2 linked regions of the Arabidopsis thaliana genome follow. The protein of the gene in region 1 interacts with the protein of each later gene in a pairwise test. Each region holds a gene or a part of one and is shown in the gene's direction. Other genes may lie near its edges.

Region 1 (8,360 bases):
AAAGTGGCTTATATCAAAACTCCTAATGTGTGATCAGTAACGTGTAGAAAAGGCAAAAAACATAATGGGCTTAAAGTACTAATAAGCCCATTATATGTACGACTTAATAAAGGCCTTTTTATCTATGTAATAAGCCTCTAATTCGATGAGATACTTTTCACAAATCTTTTTCTTCATTGCTTCGTCGAGAAGAGAATGAACAATGAAGTGAACTAATAAAACTTCCATTTGCAATTTCACGACCTCCATTTTCGTGCTGAGATTCTCTAAGCTCGATGGATCTAACGACGACGCGTCAGAGGCGTCCACTTATATCTGACTCTTCTTCTTCGTCTTCTACGAAATCTTACTCGAAGACCGATAAACCTGGCCGATCTAATGGCGGTGATGCGGAGGATGGTGGTCTCCGATGGTTCTTGCCGTTTATAGCGCTTTGTTATCTTCGTTACATGAGCGCGACTTCTAATATCATTCATGACTGCGATGAAGTGTTCAATTACTGGGAGCCTCTTCATTATATTCTCTACAAGTCCGGATTTCAGACCTGGGAATACAGGTTTGCTTTTCCGCTACATTTGATTATGTTACTACTGAGCTAAAGACCCGATGTTAGCTCGAGTGAGCATGTACTTTGAGCTGTGATTCTATACTTATGTATCGGTGACTACTGATTCTCAACATTTTGTTTCAATTTGAAATCAGAAATGTGAGGTTGGGATTTGGTTTTAGTGGAACTTCGGTTTCAACGGAATCTTTATTAGGTTATCGAGCTTTGTTTTATATGAAGATATAATCATGAGATTGATTACTTTTTTTTTTTTTGTGTGTGTGTGTGTGTGTATTTTGCAGTTCCAACTTTGCTCTTCGGTCGTACTTATACATTCTATTCCATGAATTGGCTGGACGGCCTGCTTCTTGGTGGTTTGGTGATGACAAGGTAAGCAATGCATACTTACTGATGTACATTCTAATCGGTATAGATATAACTGCATGTTTCTTATCCAGTTTACGTCTATCTTTTGGATAGGTTAGAGTTTTCTATGCAGTGAGACTCTTTCTCGGACTGGTTTCTGCAGTTTCAGATACTGTCCTGGTTGTTGCGCTCTCCAGAAAGTATGGGAAACGTATCGCTACCTATGCAGTTGCGATGCTCTGCTTAACCAGTGGCTGCTTCTTTGCTAGTACCAGTGAGTGTTTTGTTTTGTTTTGATTTGTTGTTACACTTGCTTAAGCTTTCTGTCATATTTCCTTAATATGCATATATAGGCTTTCCAAGTTATTCTTGCATCCGATAGGTTTTAGTTTCAAATGCTTGTATAAGTTATTCCAAAGACATTGCTCTGAATTTGGCTTTGTGTTCTGGTTTCTTACTAATTCATGTTTCTCTAAAATTTTGATAGGTTTCCTCCCCAGTTCATTTTCTATGTACGCCATAAGCCTCTCATCTGGTTTATTACTTTTCGAGAAGTATGCCATGGCTGTTGCAGTTTCGGTTGTCGGGGTGATTCTTGGCTGGCCATTTTCTATCTTGGCCTTTTTACCTGTCGTTATTTACTCTCTGGTTAAGAGATTCAAGCAAGCATTTATCGCTGGTGCAGTCACCACTATATTTCTCCTTGTAAGCTAACACCAATCCTAGATGCTTTGTCTGTGTGAATTTTATGGGAATTATTGGATCTCGCTGACTTTCATTAGCACCTGTAACTTTAAATTACTATTTTCTCTTCTAATTAGTTTTGTCTCTTTTCTAGGGAGTCTCACTACTTGTGGATTACTATTATTACAAGAGATGGACATCATCAGTTTTGAATCTCTTGATATACAATGTGTTAGGGGGTGGAGAGAGCCATCTCTATGGGACTGAAGGAGCGTTATTTTATATAAGAAATGGATTTAACAACTTCAACTTCTGTTTCATTTTGGCAATGTTGTTTGTCGCAATATATCCTGTTATCAGAAGGAAGTATGACCGTGCCCTGCTGGTTGTGATTTCCCCGATGTATATTTGGCTGGCGTTCATGTCACTTCAGCCCCACAAAGAAGAAAGGTGATTTTCTAAGATCTTTCATCTTGTAATTTTTTGAGCATTCGTATGGTGGCTTCTATATCGTTGAGGAAACCAGTTTTATGATACTTTTACAAAATCACGGTATTCAACAAACAATGTTTTTGATTGTCAATTAATTGACTGCAGGTTCCTTTATCCTATATACCCTCTTATTTGTGTCTCTGCTTCTGCTGTTATTGAGAACATCCCTGAGCTGTTCCGGGAAAAGTATAGCTCACGTGAAAGTCTTCTGGTGACAGTAAGTTCCAACTTACAATATCTCAGTCTCTGATTTATACCTTTCCGCAAATTGAAAAGAAGTAGATTGTACGATTCTCACATATCTGTTTAATACGCAGATAACCAAATACATGCGACCTGTGATTCTTGGTTGTATCTTATGTGCTTCACATTCTCGCACATTTGCTCTTATTAATGGCTATTCCGCTCCCTTGGAGGTCTACAAACTACTGGAGCATCATGATGATGCAGGACCAGGTATATCCAATTCGAACTGAACTTCTTGATCATTATAATGCTAAGACGAGTGAAGATCACATCTCACTTTTACTTCAAGAATAGTAATTTGCCATTGGAAAAAGGGTAACAAAGTCCTTTTGACAAAAGTTTTCTAATCACTGATGACTTCTTGGTTGGTTTTGTATGTCAGGTTCTGTTCTATGTGTGGGAAGTGAATGGCATCGATACCCATCATCGTTTTTTGTGCCCCACTACATTAGCGAAGTACGGTGGATCGATGATGGATTCCGCGGTCTTCTTCCATTCCCATTTAACAATACACTTGGAGGCACTTCAGCATCACCTCCATACTTCAACAACAAGAACCAAGCATCCGAAGAACAATATGTAATACTCACACACTCTTCTCTCATGAAACCTTCAAAATATCTCTAAACATAAACTTAATCATGGCTTGTTTACTCGTTCCATTTTTTCCAGTTAAAGAACATCGAAACTTGTACATTCCTCATTGAGTTGCAGCTTAGCAGACCGTATCAGTATCGAGGCAGCGACTTATCTACATGGGAGGTATAGGAATCAAACCATCTTCCTGAAACAGAATCCATCTTTGATTTCACTTCACTTCTTCAATTGGTTGTTTTGACCCTTTTTTCAGGCTATTGCGGTGTTGCCTTATTTGGACAGAGAGCTGTCGCCAGCTAAGTATAGATCGTTCTTCATCCCGCACATGTGGCAGGAGAAAAATGTGTTTGGCAAATACGTAGCACTGAGAAGAGTCCCAAAATGATCACAAATCGTTAAAACTCCTTAGACTTGTAGCTTTAACTCAGTTCATTGGGTAGTTTTGGGAGAATGTAATAACTAATAACTGATTAGTATCGGCTTTAAGTTCAGGTACGTTCACGGTTCGTAGTTGTGTTGTTGTGAAAGAGACTAGTTTTAACTTTGTAAGAAATCTCCAAATGGTCAGAAGAACGTGGAAGATTATGTTTATGACATTATTGTGCAAAGTCTATATTCTTTTTGTCTTTTGATATTGCGGATTCCAATTTTGGCTATCGAGAAAAAGGGAGAAAATGAGAAGACTATGGAGGGCACTTCATAATTCATATTTCTGTCCTCTTTAAGTTAGCGTTTGACCAACGCGTCGTAAAAAGGTACAGAAGAAGAACGCAATAGAATTGAAGATAATGAACTAAAAAAGTTGTGTATATATATTGTAAAAGATTATCTTTGAAGAAAAGAATAACCTAAACAAGGTATTAATTTTTCTAAAAATTTGATCGAGTCATCGAGATCATGGTAGGTATATTGACGTTTGTAATAATGTTGTCACTATGTTACCACCAGACTAATAAATAGTGCATGTCGTTTACAAAACTAAGAAAAGATTATTTTCTTAGTAGTTTTCAATCATGGTTAAAAAAGTATTTGAATATGGAAATTATTCTTAAAAAAATTGAATATGAATATGGAAGAGAACTTACAGAAAATTATTTACTAAATGTATTCCTTACATATTTCATGTAATTATATATTTTTACTAGCATAAAAGCATCAATTTATTTCCGTAAAGGAAAAAAAGAAAGAATTAAAAGGATCAAAGGGGCACGAAACTAGAGACGACGAAGCGTACTCGATTATTATCAGCCTTTGGTAGCTTCGTTCTCTCTCAAAAACCCTAACTTCTCTGTGACGATCGAATCCGATAGCGTGCGATAATGGCCAATAGTAATCTTCCCCGACGAATCATCAAGGTTAGTTTTCCGATCCTCTGTAGCATCCTCCGATCCGTATCTCCCCTCAGTTTCATTTTGGGGAATTCTAATCTGAAATCCGAAGAAGGAACCGACGGATTATATACCTCAGCAGAACTGGGAAGAATTTTCGATAGCTTGTACGATCTTATATCATCTTCGTCATCTTGATCTGACTTTTTTTTGTTCTTCGATCTGATAGGAAACTCAACGTCTGCTTAGTGAACCTGGTAATTTCATCACTTCATTCGATCCTTGTTGATTTCTCACAGTTGATTTTAGCTCAAACAGTTGGTTTTGGTAGCTGGAACTATTGATTTTAATTCTAAGTTGTATATCTTTCGAAATTGCAGCTCCTGGGATAAGTGCGTCTCCATCAGAGGAAAATATGAGATATTTCAATGTTATGATTCTTGGTCCTACTCAATCTCCTTATGAAGGTAGTCAAATTGTTTTAATCTCCCAAAGATGCTCATCGTTACTTCTTCCTTTTTCTTCTTTAATGCATGCTGCTCAACGATTTATCGTTATCGTTTCTGCTGCAAGTAGTGACTCTGCTCTGTCTCTATATTTGTTTATACAAACGGATATGTTCGTTTAGGTACTACTAGGTCTCATAGATTGCTCATGTTCGGATTGTAGTGTTATGAATAACGATGAGTCTTTAAGCTACCTTTGAGTTCATTTCGACACATTTTATTTGTTCTAGAATACACAATGCCAAGTCGAATTTCCAGAATCAAGTCTGCTGTTTTATCTATCATCATATTTCTGTTAATTGATGTTTACCAATAATTTTGTTTCCTTCTCAATCTGTAGGAGGAGTTTTCAAGTTGGAGCTCTTTTTGCCTGAAGAATATCCTATGGCAGCTCCCAAGGTAAGTTGCTTCAACTTTTGTGTGTTTTTCTTCTTTCATTTCATGTTTCACTTGTTTTGGTAACATTAGGATTACCCCACATAACATTGTTAAGTGGAGGTAAATGCTCTTTAAGTGAATGTCTCTCTACTCTTAACACTAGGATTTTATTTATGGGTTTATGAGATTGGTGATTTTGGTTTTGTTATGACTACTCCGAATGTATTTTCTTATATTATATTAGACAACGTATCCAAGTTTCTTCATTGATGTAGAGTTTATGGGTCTTATTGATGATATCATTTGAAACACAGGTTAGGTTTCTCACCAAGATTTACCATCCTAACATCGACAAGGTCTGTTGTGAAAAATTTCCTTTTCTTCTCTTACTGTCAAGATAACTAACCAAACACATGGTCTTTTATACTTATGGATCATGTTTTGTTTGCACTTATCATGTATATATAGCTTGGAAGAATCTGCCTTGACATACTGAAAGACAAGTGGAGTCCTGCACTACAAATACGAACTGTGCTCTTGAGGTATGAATATATCCATAGAATCTTCTTTCCCTACTAAATCCAAAATATTGTAGAAATTAAGATTTAATTATTCACACTTTCTGATTTTCCATTGCCGTGTAAAAACAGTATCCAAGCTCTTTTAAGTGCACCAAACCCAGATGATCCTCTGTCTGAGAACATAGCTAAGCATTGGAAGAGCAATGAGGCAGAAGCTGTGGAAACAGGTGATAAAATACGATCGAAAAACTCAAAAAAGTTGCAACAAAAACTTTATTCCTCTCCTCTCTAATCTGGTAATCTCATATCAATGTGAACTTATGCAGCTAAGGAATGGACTCGTCTTTACGCAAGTGGTGCTTAAAGAAGACTGCAAATGGAGAAAGATCATTGTCATTTAAATAACATTATATATGGTGAAACTCTATCTCAAGGTTTTATCTGAATCCTTTTTCTGAAAACAGAGGAAAAAGATTTGTACTCTCTGAATTTGTATAACTAGGGGGATCTAAGACTCGTTTACCCATATCTGGAATCTAACTTTCTTCAATTGTGCTTGCTTTTGATCTTTGTTTTTGTTATATATGCTCTATAATAATCTTTATAAAGTGGTGTAGATAATCAGATTTTCACAGGTTGTGAATCAAAGTAAATTGGATGAATGATGCATAATGTTACTATTACAGGTGTATGAAGCAGCTTATTTTGGTCAAATGTAAAAAAAAAAAAAAGTGGTAAAAATAGTAGTCACGAGGAATGAGACTTGAGATTTTGAAAAATGGGCATAATCAGAAACTTGACTCGTCAGTTGATGGACGCCTCAAGAAGTACCTCAGACTATTAGCAAGGACCTACAAATACAAAATTTGATTTCATTTCAGTAAAAACATTTCAACTTATCAAAGAGAAAAGTCTAATTTCAGAATTTTAACCTGCTGGAGAGGCTTGATTAGGGCTTTGTTCCTGTAGCTTACATGAAACTTCACCTTAGCCAACAAACCCTTTTTGTTTCACATACAACAAGAAGAAGCAACATGAGAAACAGAGCGATATTATAGCGGAGGGTATATGTTTTAGACATTAAAAAACAGGATTATTAGATACCTCGGTGTCGAATTCTCCAGATTCAACAGCGACGCTGATATCTGAAATGATCTTCACCAGCTCAACTAATAGTCCAGGTCTATCCGCTGATTCTATGAAGAGTAAACTGCATCATCAACAAATAATTATGGATCAATGATCAGATCATATATCATAAGAATAAAAGCATTTGGATAAGGTTCTAGAGTTGAGATAAGGTATGGGTATACATTACCTGCGGTCTGGTCCATCATCTTCAATGGTTATATGTGTTGCTATGTCCACGTCAATCTGTCAACATCCCAATCCAAAATACAGAAGAAGGAAAATGAATTTTGAAGCTACTTTGAAGTTGCGTGGGTATTCCCTTCTTCATCAAAGTGATTAATACTATAATGAAGTTTAATACTTGTACTCTACATTGACCCGCCAAATCCAAATATGTTGATTATTAGTTAAGTCTTTGTTTTCTCTATTATTGTTTCTTATCTGTACGTGACCGAGGAAACGACAAGCAGTCTTGACCTTTATGTTCGAGGATGCTAACTACTTGAAGAATTAGTGCAATACAAAAGAAGTGGATAAGGTTATAAAAAGAGCATCACAGTTTAAGGTTTTTACCGGTTCAGTTGGAGGAAGAACACCAAAAGCTGCTCCCATTGCCAACTGAGAACTTGATTCCTGATCCAAATCATCGAGAAGCAATGTGTGAGTTAAAAAATTATGCAAGATATAGGAAAAATAGAAAGAGAGGATATTAGGATGTGAAGTAGTTACAGGATGAAACTCAAGCAGATTGTTTATGACTGTGAGACGAATGGCCTCAAGCAATTCAGGGTCTTCTACTTTTCTTCCACTATCTCTGTTGTAACAACAATTACAGTCAGCTCAAAACTCAATCTAAAGTCAACTATTTGACAGAGTCAATCGATTCAAAGCAACATTAACTATCTAAACGACTCTTGGAGCTCAAAATACTCTTTGATGATATGAAAAGACATACGCTCTAGTAATGGCAAATTTGTTGTGCTTGCCGGAAGAATCAAGGTAAACATTTGCCTTGACGACATTCAATCCCAAGTTTTTGAGCGCATTCATCTAGAAGGGCAAAGTTGATCAGATCAAGAAGCAGTCAAAAAAGCAGGAAAGGAAGTAAGAAGCTTTTGTGAATGTTGGTCGATTATGCAGAGCTAGCAACAAGTGAGTAAGAAGAAGGTATCCTTCCTTACAGTGTCAAGTAAAGCTCCAAGACGATCTCCGAATGTAACTTCAAGAACGGTTGCATCAGGGTCAGAATCTTGGTCGATTATAACAACTGGAGTTGGAACTTTATCAGAATCAGCAGCACTTCCTTCTTGCTTTCCATTCTTCAAAATCAAAAACAAAAACATATAAACTTTAAAAAGTCTATTCAAATTACTAGTGTCCTTGTGTAATCATTTCATTTTCATACCTCCACAGCAGTAGCATTTGATGCTCTAATCTTCAAAGTGGATAATCTGAAGAAAAAAAAAAAAAAGAATTGAATTGAAGTATTTGAATCCGTAGAAGATCAGCTCAAAACAATCTGTGCTTTGAATCGAATTCCAGCAAAAGATACGAATTTATAACC
Region 2 (8,593 bases), 4.0 Mb from region 1:
TAATCCTATCACCGATATCTTTTCCTAGAACAGAAATTATGTTGATATGATATTTATGAAAGTCGCAAATCTGACCGAAAACTTCTAGTCTTCACGTTTCTTTTGATATTTGATAGACTGTTGAACATAGCATATAATTACGTAGAAAAAAAAAGGTGCAAATAGTTGCATGTAGATAAATGATTGGAAAAAATTAATCTGAACAAAAAATTGGACATTATTCTGCTCATTCCTCTACAAAATAGTAGATGAACTAGATTTTAACCCGCGATATACCGCGGGACAATTTATTTTTTTAAAGTAATATATATTAAAACTTGTAAATTTTAATTTTATAAAATATTTATATTTTACAGTTTATAATTGTTATTAAGTAACGCTATACCACGAATCCATGAGACAATTGTTAAAAATTTGAAGTTTTAACCCCTATTAAAACAGCATATTAAACATATTTTAAAATTTTATAAATATTGATTCAAATACATCTACCATATAACCCAATTCCAAAATAAAACCCGTTCTGTAATTTTTTTACCCGTCCCGTAATTTTTTTTAAAATAGTAATTTTTAAAATTTAAGAATTATTTTTTATATATAAAAGTTTTGCAAATTGTATCATTTTCTAATACATTTATATTTTATAGTTTAATTTTATATATAATAACATTATACATACCACATAACATTTTTGGTTTTATATAACCTTTTCTAAATTAGGATGATTTGATATGTTTAATATTAGTGGTCTTAAAATATAATAAATTAAAGATTTAATCCGTATTGAAATTGTGGATTAATTATATTTTACTTTTTTATTAATGTTGATTCAAAAACCCGTCCATCCAAATCCGTCTTGCCAAAAAGCCATTTATTTTATTAATGATATGACTCTGAATTATAATCTAAATATTTTAGCTAATAACAAATGAGTGCACCATATTTATTTAATAGGAGACTGTACCATATGACCCGAATGCACTTTTATCCAAATCCACCAAAAAAATCTTGCAAAAATACTATAGAGATAAGAAACGATAGTCGGTTTTGATAGGTATAAGATTAGCAACTATATTAGTTAGCTTAAATTAGTTAAATAATACAAATTGAAAAGGTATATTACACTTTATTCGAATATAGTATCAAAACTTATATAACACAGAGATTTGATAATTTTTTAATTATTGAATACTTTTTTTTGTGCTAATTTTTATGTGATTAAGATTTAATTGATTTCGTATATAAAATATTAAATTGTTTTACGAACTTATTTGTTTATAATTTGGTAACAGATAGATATTTGAATATTCAGTATATTTTGCTTCAGTTTAGGAAATCTTTGATGACCCGTCTTTAGATCCAATAAGCCCTATAATCTAGTTATTAACCTGCAGTATACCGCAGGTAGGCTTATACTTTAGTTAAACTAAAAACTTTTATTGTAAAGATGATTTAAATATATATGATATTATTTTATTTGATTTTAAATGTATAGTAATCTGTGAGTTGTATATATTTTGTTGATATTATCTATATTGTTTAGTGTTTAAGATTATACACTTGTAGTTTGATTGTTAATTTAAGAGTTTCACATGTAGTATATCATCTTGTATTAATATCGATCTAAACCCGTCAATTCTAGGATTTTTCAGCTTGTATTAAAAATTGAATCACATCTAATATGTTATTAATTACTGTAGTATATAAGATTATAAATTTTCATTATAATATGTGTGAAATTGAATAGAAATATTTCAAATTATGATCCGTTACTCAGTAGAAAGTTTTCTTAAATCTATTTTTCTTCCGTTATAATATTTTTTCATGTATTGAATAGTTTATATTCGTTTTTAAAAATTCAAAATATGGCATATGCGAAAAAACTCTAATTATTTTTTTATAATGATGATATTATTTTTCGGCAAAAATAGAATCATATAAAGATGAGAAGTGAACTATAATAATTAATAAAAAATTAATATGATAATTTAGATATCAAATCTAATTTGTTGATTTTAATTGGTTACTTTTTTGGAAATTAATAATGTATTTCGTTTTTCTAATTAAATTAAATTAATTAAAATTTAGATATCAAATCTTATATGTTGATTTTGATTGGTTATTATTTTTGGAAAATAATAATATATTTCGTTTTTTAATTAAATTTAATTAATTAAATTAGTATTTGACTTTTTAATCCTTAAAGAGATAAATTAATTTACTCTTTAAAATTTTATTTCTAATGGCATACCTATGTAATTACTTATAAAAGTTAAGGTTACATTTAAAATGTACTTCCCAAATAATATAGTAGGATAAGTTGAACAAATTTTCTATATATATATATATTATTTTTTGTATTGTTTTTGGTTAAATGTGTTGAATGAGTTTTCCAACTTATTTATCTCAAATATTAAAAAATAATATGAATGGTTATTCAACTCTTTCGACTTCTTATTTTAAGACAAATATTTGTACTCTTGGCTTGATGGATCTCTTTCTAAAATTTGAAGTGTTTAATTAGTTAATGTTTTTATTTGTCAATTTTTATTTTGTTTTAAAATCATTTTTTACTATTGAAATACTTTTTGGTAAACTTCCTTTGTTAATTTTTTTTTTTTTTTTGTCATCTCCTTTGTTTATTGTTTATCTTGATAAATTACGTAGTTTTGATAAACAAACAAATCGTTTATCTTAATAAATTAGGTAGTTTTGATTCACTTTGTTTATGGTCAGTTTGTAAAGAAAAAGAAAACAAAACTCTAGTGACTAAGCAAAGTTCAGATTATTGTTGGGCCAAAATATTTAGGCCCATTTTAAGCTCTACCGTCATTTTAACTTTTTATGGTCCAAAAACGATTCGACTTTTTTCCTGATTCGTGTAGAGAAAAATAAAAAATTAAATATAAAAAATTAAGTACTTTGGGAAAAAGCGAAACGTATCTTACCATTTATACCCCTCCAATCAAAATTGATGGTTTCCCCGATTTGAGAAATCTTTTTCATCATCATCACTCTTCCTCCTTCCCCATTGCTTAGTGTTGGTTCCCAAGTCCCAACCTGCTTCAATTTAGGTCGCAAACGATCTCAATTATTCACAATCCAATCTTTTCTTCAATCGATCTTCGTTTCTGGTAAATCCTCCGCCATCGATTTCCCCGTTTCTCTCCTTATCTTAAGATTCTTGGATTCGTATTTGTTTGATTGTCAGATTTGTGAATTGTTGATCAACAAACTCGTTATCAGTATTCAGATTGAATTATCGTTGAATTGAGGATCAGTTGATAGAATCTTGAGTCGTTTGTTTCAAATCGGATTTGAATTGTGTGTTTGTAGATCAAGCTAATAATAAGCTAGGAAGAGAGTTTAGTGAAGTAGTGAAGATGCAGAATCAGATTGATATGGTGAAGGATGAAGCGGAAGTAGCTGCATCGATTTCAGCAATTAAGGGTGAAGAATGGGGAAATTGTTCATCAGTGGAAGATCAACCATCTTTTCAAGAAGAAGAAGCTGCTAAAGTTCCTTATGTTGGTGATAAGGTCAGAGCCAATATTAAAATTGATCTTCTGTTTCATATTATTCGTTTTTTGGCTTCTACGTGTTATCTTGCTCTGTTTATTTATCGAAAGAAGTTAAAAAGGTTGATTGTTTTGGTTCAATGATGTGCAGGAACCTCTGTCTAGTTTAGCTGCAGAGTATCAATCAGGGAGTCCCATTTTGCTGGAGAAGATTAAGGTTACTTTCTGCTCTGTTATCTTTTTCGTGGTTTGTTGCTTTCAGTCTTTTTGAATTATCATGTTTGCAATGCTTGTAGATACTGGACAGTCAATATATCGGAATCCGGCGAACAAGAGGAGATGGAAATTGCTTCTTCCGAAGTTTTATGTTCTCTTACCTTGTATGTTCTCAGAATGTCTTCTATTTTGCCTAGCTCTTGTTTGTGTAGTTGGTTTTGAACTTTGTTATTTTGGTTAGACGTGGATTGTATCTTTAGTTAAAGTTGCTGTTGTTTTCTCTGCTTTGTTTCGTAGGAGCATATATTGGAATCACAAGATCGTGCTGAAGTCGATCGTATCAAGGTCAATGTTGAGAAATGTAGAAAGACTCTGCAAAACTTAGGTTATACAGATTTTACATTTGAGGACTTCTTTGCGGTAAATCGACCACCTTTTTCTGTTTTCTATTGTGTCTGCTTTTTAAATCTGGTAAGATCACCACCAATACTCAATTTCATCTTTCTTGAAAATACAGTTGTTCCTTGAGCAACTAGATGACATTCTCCAAGGAACTGAAGAGTCTATAAGGTAGAGAACTGTTTATCCAGATGGCTTTTTAATTGGCATTTAATTTTGATTTCTGTTTTCGTGTGGATAAGTTCTGACTTTCATGAAATGGCACAAGTCTCTTCTCGTTGTATCTCATCCTTTTTGCAAATATCTTTCTCTTACAGCTACGATGAGCTGGTTAACAGAAGTAGAGATCAGTCAGTCTCAGATTACAGTAAGTTACTCTAATTTTCTCTGGCGATGCATATCCAATGGTACATAGTTTTGACAAATTTTTGTTGTCTCAGTTGTAATGTTCTTTAGGTTTGTTACTGCTGGTGATATACGAACGCGTGCCGATTTTTTCGAGCCTTTTATAACAGGCTTATCAAATGCAACAGTGGATCAGGTTTGTACACACGCTTACTCTGTTTTGGAATTCAGGCCATTTGGTGATATGTTTGAAATTTTATTTTTCCGTCTCTGTGATATCTCTGTCAATTTTAATGTCCTTCCAAACTTGCTTGCTTTATCTCTGATTAGTCAGCGTTGTGAGACGTTAAGTCTCTTGCACTTATGTTTAAACTAAAGATTCTGTTGAAAGTTCTGAATACCTCCTCATAGATTATTAGAGCATAGGTGAATGCAAGATATTAACACTACATTGTTATAGTTTTGCAAGTCCTCGGTCGAACCAATGGGGGAAGAGAGTGACCATATTCACATAACTGCTTTGTCGGACGCACTTGGTGTTGCAATCCGTGTTGTGTATCTTGACCGTAGCTCATGTGATAGTGGGGGCGTCACTGTGAATCATCATGACTTTGTTCCTGTGGGCATTACCAATGAGAAAGATGAAGAAGCTTCTGCTCCATTTATAACCTTGCTGTATCGTCCAGGCCATTACGATATCCTCTACCCCAAGCCATCTTGTAAGGTATATAAACACGAAATCGCCATATGACCTCTCTTCCTTTTAGATTCGACGTGGATTAAATTTAATGATTGTGTTGTTACAGGTATCAGACAATGTGGGGAAATGATCATTTGACATATCGTAAATCGCATTAGGAGACGTTTACAAAAAACTGTGGTAATATGGATTCATGTGGATGAAACCATGGAACAATCAACAATTACCCCATCGATTTGCATTTTGATTATGATAAAAGAACCCTTTTTGCAACACTATAGAATGGACCGTCTCTTTACTTTGATATTGCCTTGTATTTTTCATGAATCATGATAATATCCTTTATGATATTTCTGATGAGCAAGTGGAATCAAAGGGTTTTCGATATTACCAATGGCAGAGTTCTAAGTTTGTTTTAATGGCCTGACTAAAATCTTAAACTTGAATATTTTTTTAAAATATAGAAAAGTGACGACAAAGAAATGCAAACCCTTTGGACTATTATTTTTGAGTGTCGATTGGGTCGAGAACCCGTGGATTGGGCATAAATTACCCTACCATGAGACGAGTTAAGGCTACAAATGTTGATGCTAAAATAATGCGGGCTACACGAGTTGGCTCATGGTGGATAGTGGTTTTGAGCAGTCTAAATGGATTATATTAAGTCTTGTAAATATTTGGAACCCCCAAAAACGATGTAACAAGAAGAAACCAAAAGATAAGAGCATGCCCATTGATTGAATCCTTATAAAAAATCCTTAACATTTTTTAATAATATATTTTGGTAATTTTAAAGTTTAGAGTTTTTGTTGAGTCTCTAAATTTTTTGTTATCCAATGGTGGAGTCCTTATGAAAATTTCTTTAAAAAGCAAAAATATTTTTAAAATAATTTATTTGATAAAACTTAAAAGTTATTAGAAAATATTACAAATTGTAAACATATATGATGACATAAAAGCAAAAAAAAAGAAAAAAAGAATACAAATCAAAAGGCTTCCAAGAGGAAACTAAAGTCCGAGATGAGAGGTCTATTAATGAAATTGTCACCAAAGGAAGAACATAGAATAATCTATCTCCAGCTCAAGACACTGTCATGAACTTAAATGAAAGCACGTACCTAGAACCAATTATTTGATAACATCAACTAAATGAGCAAACAAAAGAGCATAAACATAAACCTAGAACCAATTATTTTGTGTCACCAATCCGTTGTAATGCTAATGAGAAGTGAATAAGCAGCAAAAGGGTCACATTTTTATCTTAAAAACCAACAGATCAAACACAAATTTGAACATAAACCAAAGCTCAGAAACTCTATACGAAACCAAGAGAGAGGAGAGAAAGAAAAAAGGAAAAAAACTTGTTTTGTTTTATTGGTCCTCCAATGATATAGTGCCACGTCAGCGAACCTTACTCACCCAAAAATACCTTATTCAAGGTTCGCACCTTGGTTAATTAGTCAATTTTGATTTATTTTTTTGCTTCTTTTCATTAGGATTCTCTTAAGAAACTTGTAAGGTCCCTGCAATGGACATGCTCTAAGTGTTAGTGTCAATCCGTATTTATTTTCCTTTTTGTCACAACCATCTAAAGACTATACTGTAGAGAATCAGAGGGCATAGTGTATGTATACGTCCTTTATTGTTTGTCACTTTCTTCTTTGGAAGCTTGTCACGTAACGAAGAGAATCCATGTATATCCAAATGAAATCAAAATCAAACTTGGCACTATAGTTCCTTTAACTGAACTATTCAAAGGGAACTTGAATCCAAGAAGACCGAAACTAGTAGTTATAAAAAGGGTCAAAGTCACACGCCATATGAAAGAAAGGTTGACATGAGATGCACTTAGATGGCTTAGAGGGCCGATTAATCATCTCTAACAAACACACTAAATTATTAACTATTTTTGTTATTTTTATTCATATGCATGCATGTTCTCTCTTCGATTTAACAATTCCCAACACTACTACCATACAAAAAAGACACATACACTTGTTACCGTTTCAATGTTACATTAAAAATTCAAAGCCTTTTTTTTCCTTTTGACCTACCCCTCTATCTTTCTCTTCCTCTTACATAATATTTTTGAAAACAGAAACCAATATTTTCTATACTTTAAGTAGGGCTTTAAAAGGTGTATTGGATCTTGGTTCTTGATATGGATATGGGAAAACAGGTTGGGAAAACTATATATAGATTAAATAGCGTTATTTATTTATTTAGGGTTAGAATAAACATTAGGATTGTTTGAATCAGTATTAGTTTAACTTATAATCATATATAAGTTTACTAAGTAAGAACATATAAAACCCAAATATCTCTGCGAGTGGGAATAATCACATTCAATTGTACAAGAGTAACACACTTGGTTGGGGTACCTTTCTTTAGTAATCATATCATAAGTCATGCTATAGTTTTGTTTTGATCATATAATTACCTTAACGTAGGTTATCTAATCCCTACATGTTTAACATACAACTAACGATGGAGAGTCAAAAGTTTAAATGAACTTTAAGTAAACTAATAATTGTTCACAATAAGTGAATATAGGCCAAAAGACATTGGGACAAGAAAACAAGAGAAGAAGACACAAACAAAGGGTCAGATTAGTTAGTGTTTCCAATTCCATTTGTAATTATTAAGAGGATAATGAGAAAATAGGGATACAAGAGACAAGACGTGAGAGGGTGGGGATGGGCCATTCCCACTCCTTTAGCCAACCCATAAAGGCAAAAGTTGTTTTTGAGTTTCAGACCAAATGGACTCTGTCTCTTTCCCTTTTTCATTTTTTTTCTCTGTTTTCAGTTCCCAACAAAATGGTTATTCATATAAAATTTTCCCCACAGCACAAATTTTGATATGCGATCATGATGAGCAAGTTCTCGCTTTTCTTGTTATGTAGTTTTGTTTAACATTGATTTACCAAGATTGAATGGTTGGCCTATTGTTACCGCGGTAAGAAAAGACGTTGTCGCAGTAACAATTACTAACCAAAGACTTCCGCAATTGAAAAATGGGCGTGATCACGGAGTTGTCTGTTATGTGTTAGGTTCAATATTTTTGGTTGAATAATTTACGAAAAAATATTTGGAAAATAAATATTGAGAATTTTAAAATGATATGGTGACTTCTGTTCTCAGAGGAATGGTGTAGGAACGAATAGGAGTAATTTCCGGCGACATTCTCAAGTGGGGAACACTGTTACCTTTGACCCCATCATCATCATCATTCATATCATCCATAATCTCTCTCTTTTTCTCTCCGCGATACCTACGTTCATAAACGACGTCCAACGTGTGTCAATGAGCAATTATATCTCTTTTGACAACCATCCAGCTAGGCTAGAAAACACAAAACGTTATTCAAAAAGTAATTTGACATCGTATTGAATATAAGAATGTTATGATCTAAT

Evidence for each region. Proteins that work in one complex are often made in the same cells at the same time.
Region 2: the proteins of UBC36 (region 1) and AT1G28120 interact in a two-hybrid assay, tested with the Arabidopsis thaliana proteins (one large-scale study listed by BioGRID).

What each region holds. Positions count from the first base shown.
Region 1 is NC_003070.9:5,774,219-5,782,578, reverse strand, and holds UBC36 (ubiquitin-conjugating enzyme 36), read left to right. Parts: upstream 1-4,094; 5' UTR 4,095-4,251; coding exon 4,252-4,287; exon of another isoform or gene 4,288-4,489; coding exon 4,490-4,544; intron 4,545-4,640; coding exon 4,641-4,727; intron 4,728-4,750; exon of another isoform or gene 4,751-5,106; coding exon 5,107-5,165; exon of another isoform or gene 5,166-5,458; coding exon 5,459-5,500; intron 5,501-5,612; coding exon 5,613-5,686; intron 5,687-5,794; coding exon 5,795-5,892; intron 5,893-5,991; coding exon 5,992-6,029; 3' UTR 6,030-6,402; downstream 6,403-8,360. Other genes in the region: AT1G16905 (Curculin-like (mannose-binding) lectin family protein), read left to right, coding at 1-33; EBS3 (Alg9-like mannosyltransferase family), read left to right, coding at 276-556, 850-937, 1,028-1,187, 1,401-1,618, 1,752-2,047, 2,195-2,306, 2,407-2,545, 2,718-2,914 and 2 more; ACR11 (uridylyltransferase-like protein), read right to left, coding at 6,454-6,516, 6,598-6,666, 6,770-6,875, 6,984-7,039, 7,370-7,429, 7,526-7,610, 7,752-7,846, 7,978-8,115 and 1 more. UniProt on the Arabidopsis thaliana protein: Catalyzes the synthesis of non-canonical poly-ubiquitin chains that are linked through 'Lys-63'. This type of poly-ubiquitination does not lead to protein degradation by the proteasome. Mediates transcriptional activation of target genes.
Region 2 is NC_003070.9:9,809,934-9,818,526, reverse strand, and holds AT1G28120 (ubiquitin thioesterase otubain-like protein), read left to right. Parts: upstream 1-2,966; 5' UTR 2,967-3,134; intron 3,135-3,336; 5' UTR 3,337-3,383; coding exon 3,384-3,539; intron 3,540-3,669; coding exon 3,670-3,735; intron 3,736-3,814; coding exon 3,815-3,898; intron 3,899-4,031; coding exon 4,032-4,154; intron 4,155-4,251; coding exon 4,252-4,304; intron 4,305-4,450; coding exon 4,451-4,500; intron 4,501-4,573; coding exon 4,574-4,674; intron 4,675-4,938; coding exon 4,939-5,202; intron 5,203-5,284; coding exon 5,285-5,308; 3' UTR 5,309-5,597; downstream 5,598-8,593. UniProt on the Arabidopsis thaliana protein: Hydrolase that can remove conjugated ubiquitin from proteins in vitro and may therefore play an important regulatory role at the level of protein turnover by preventing degradation.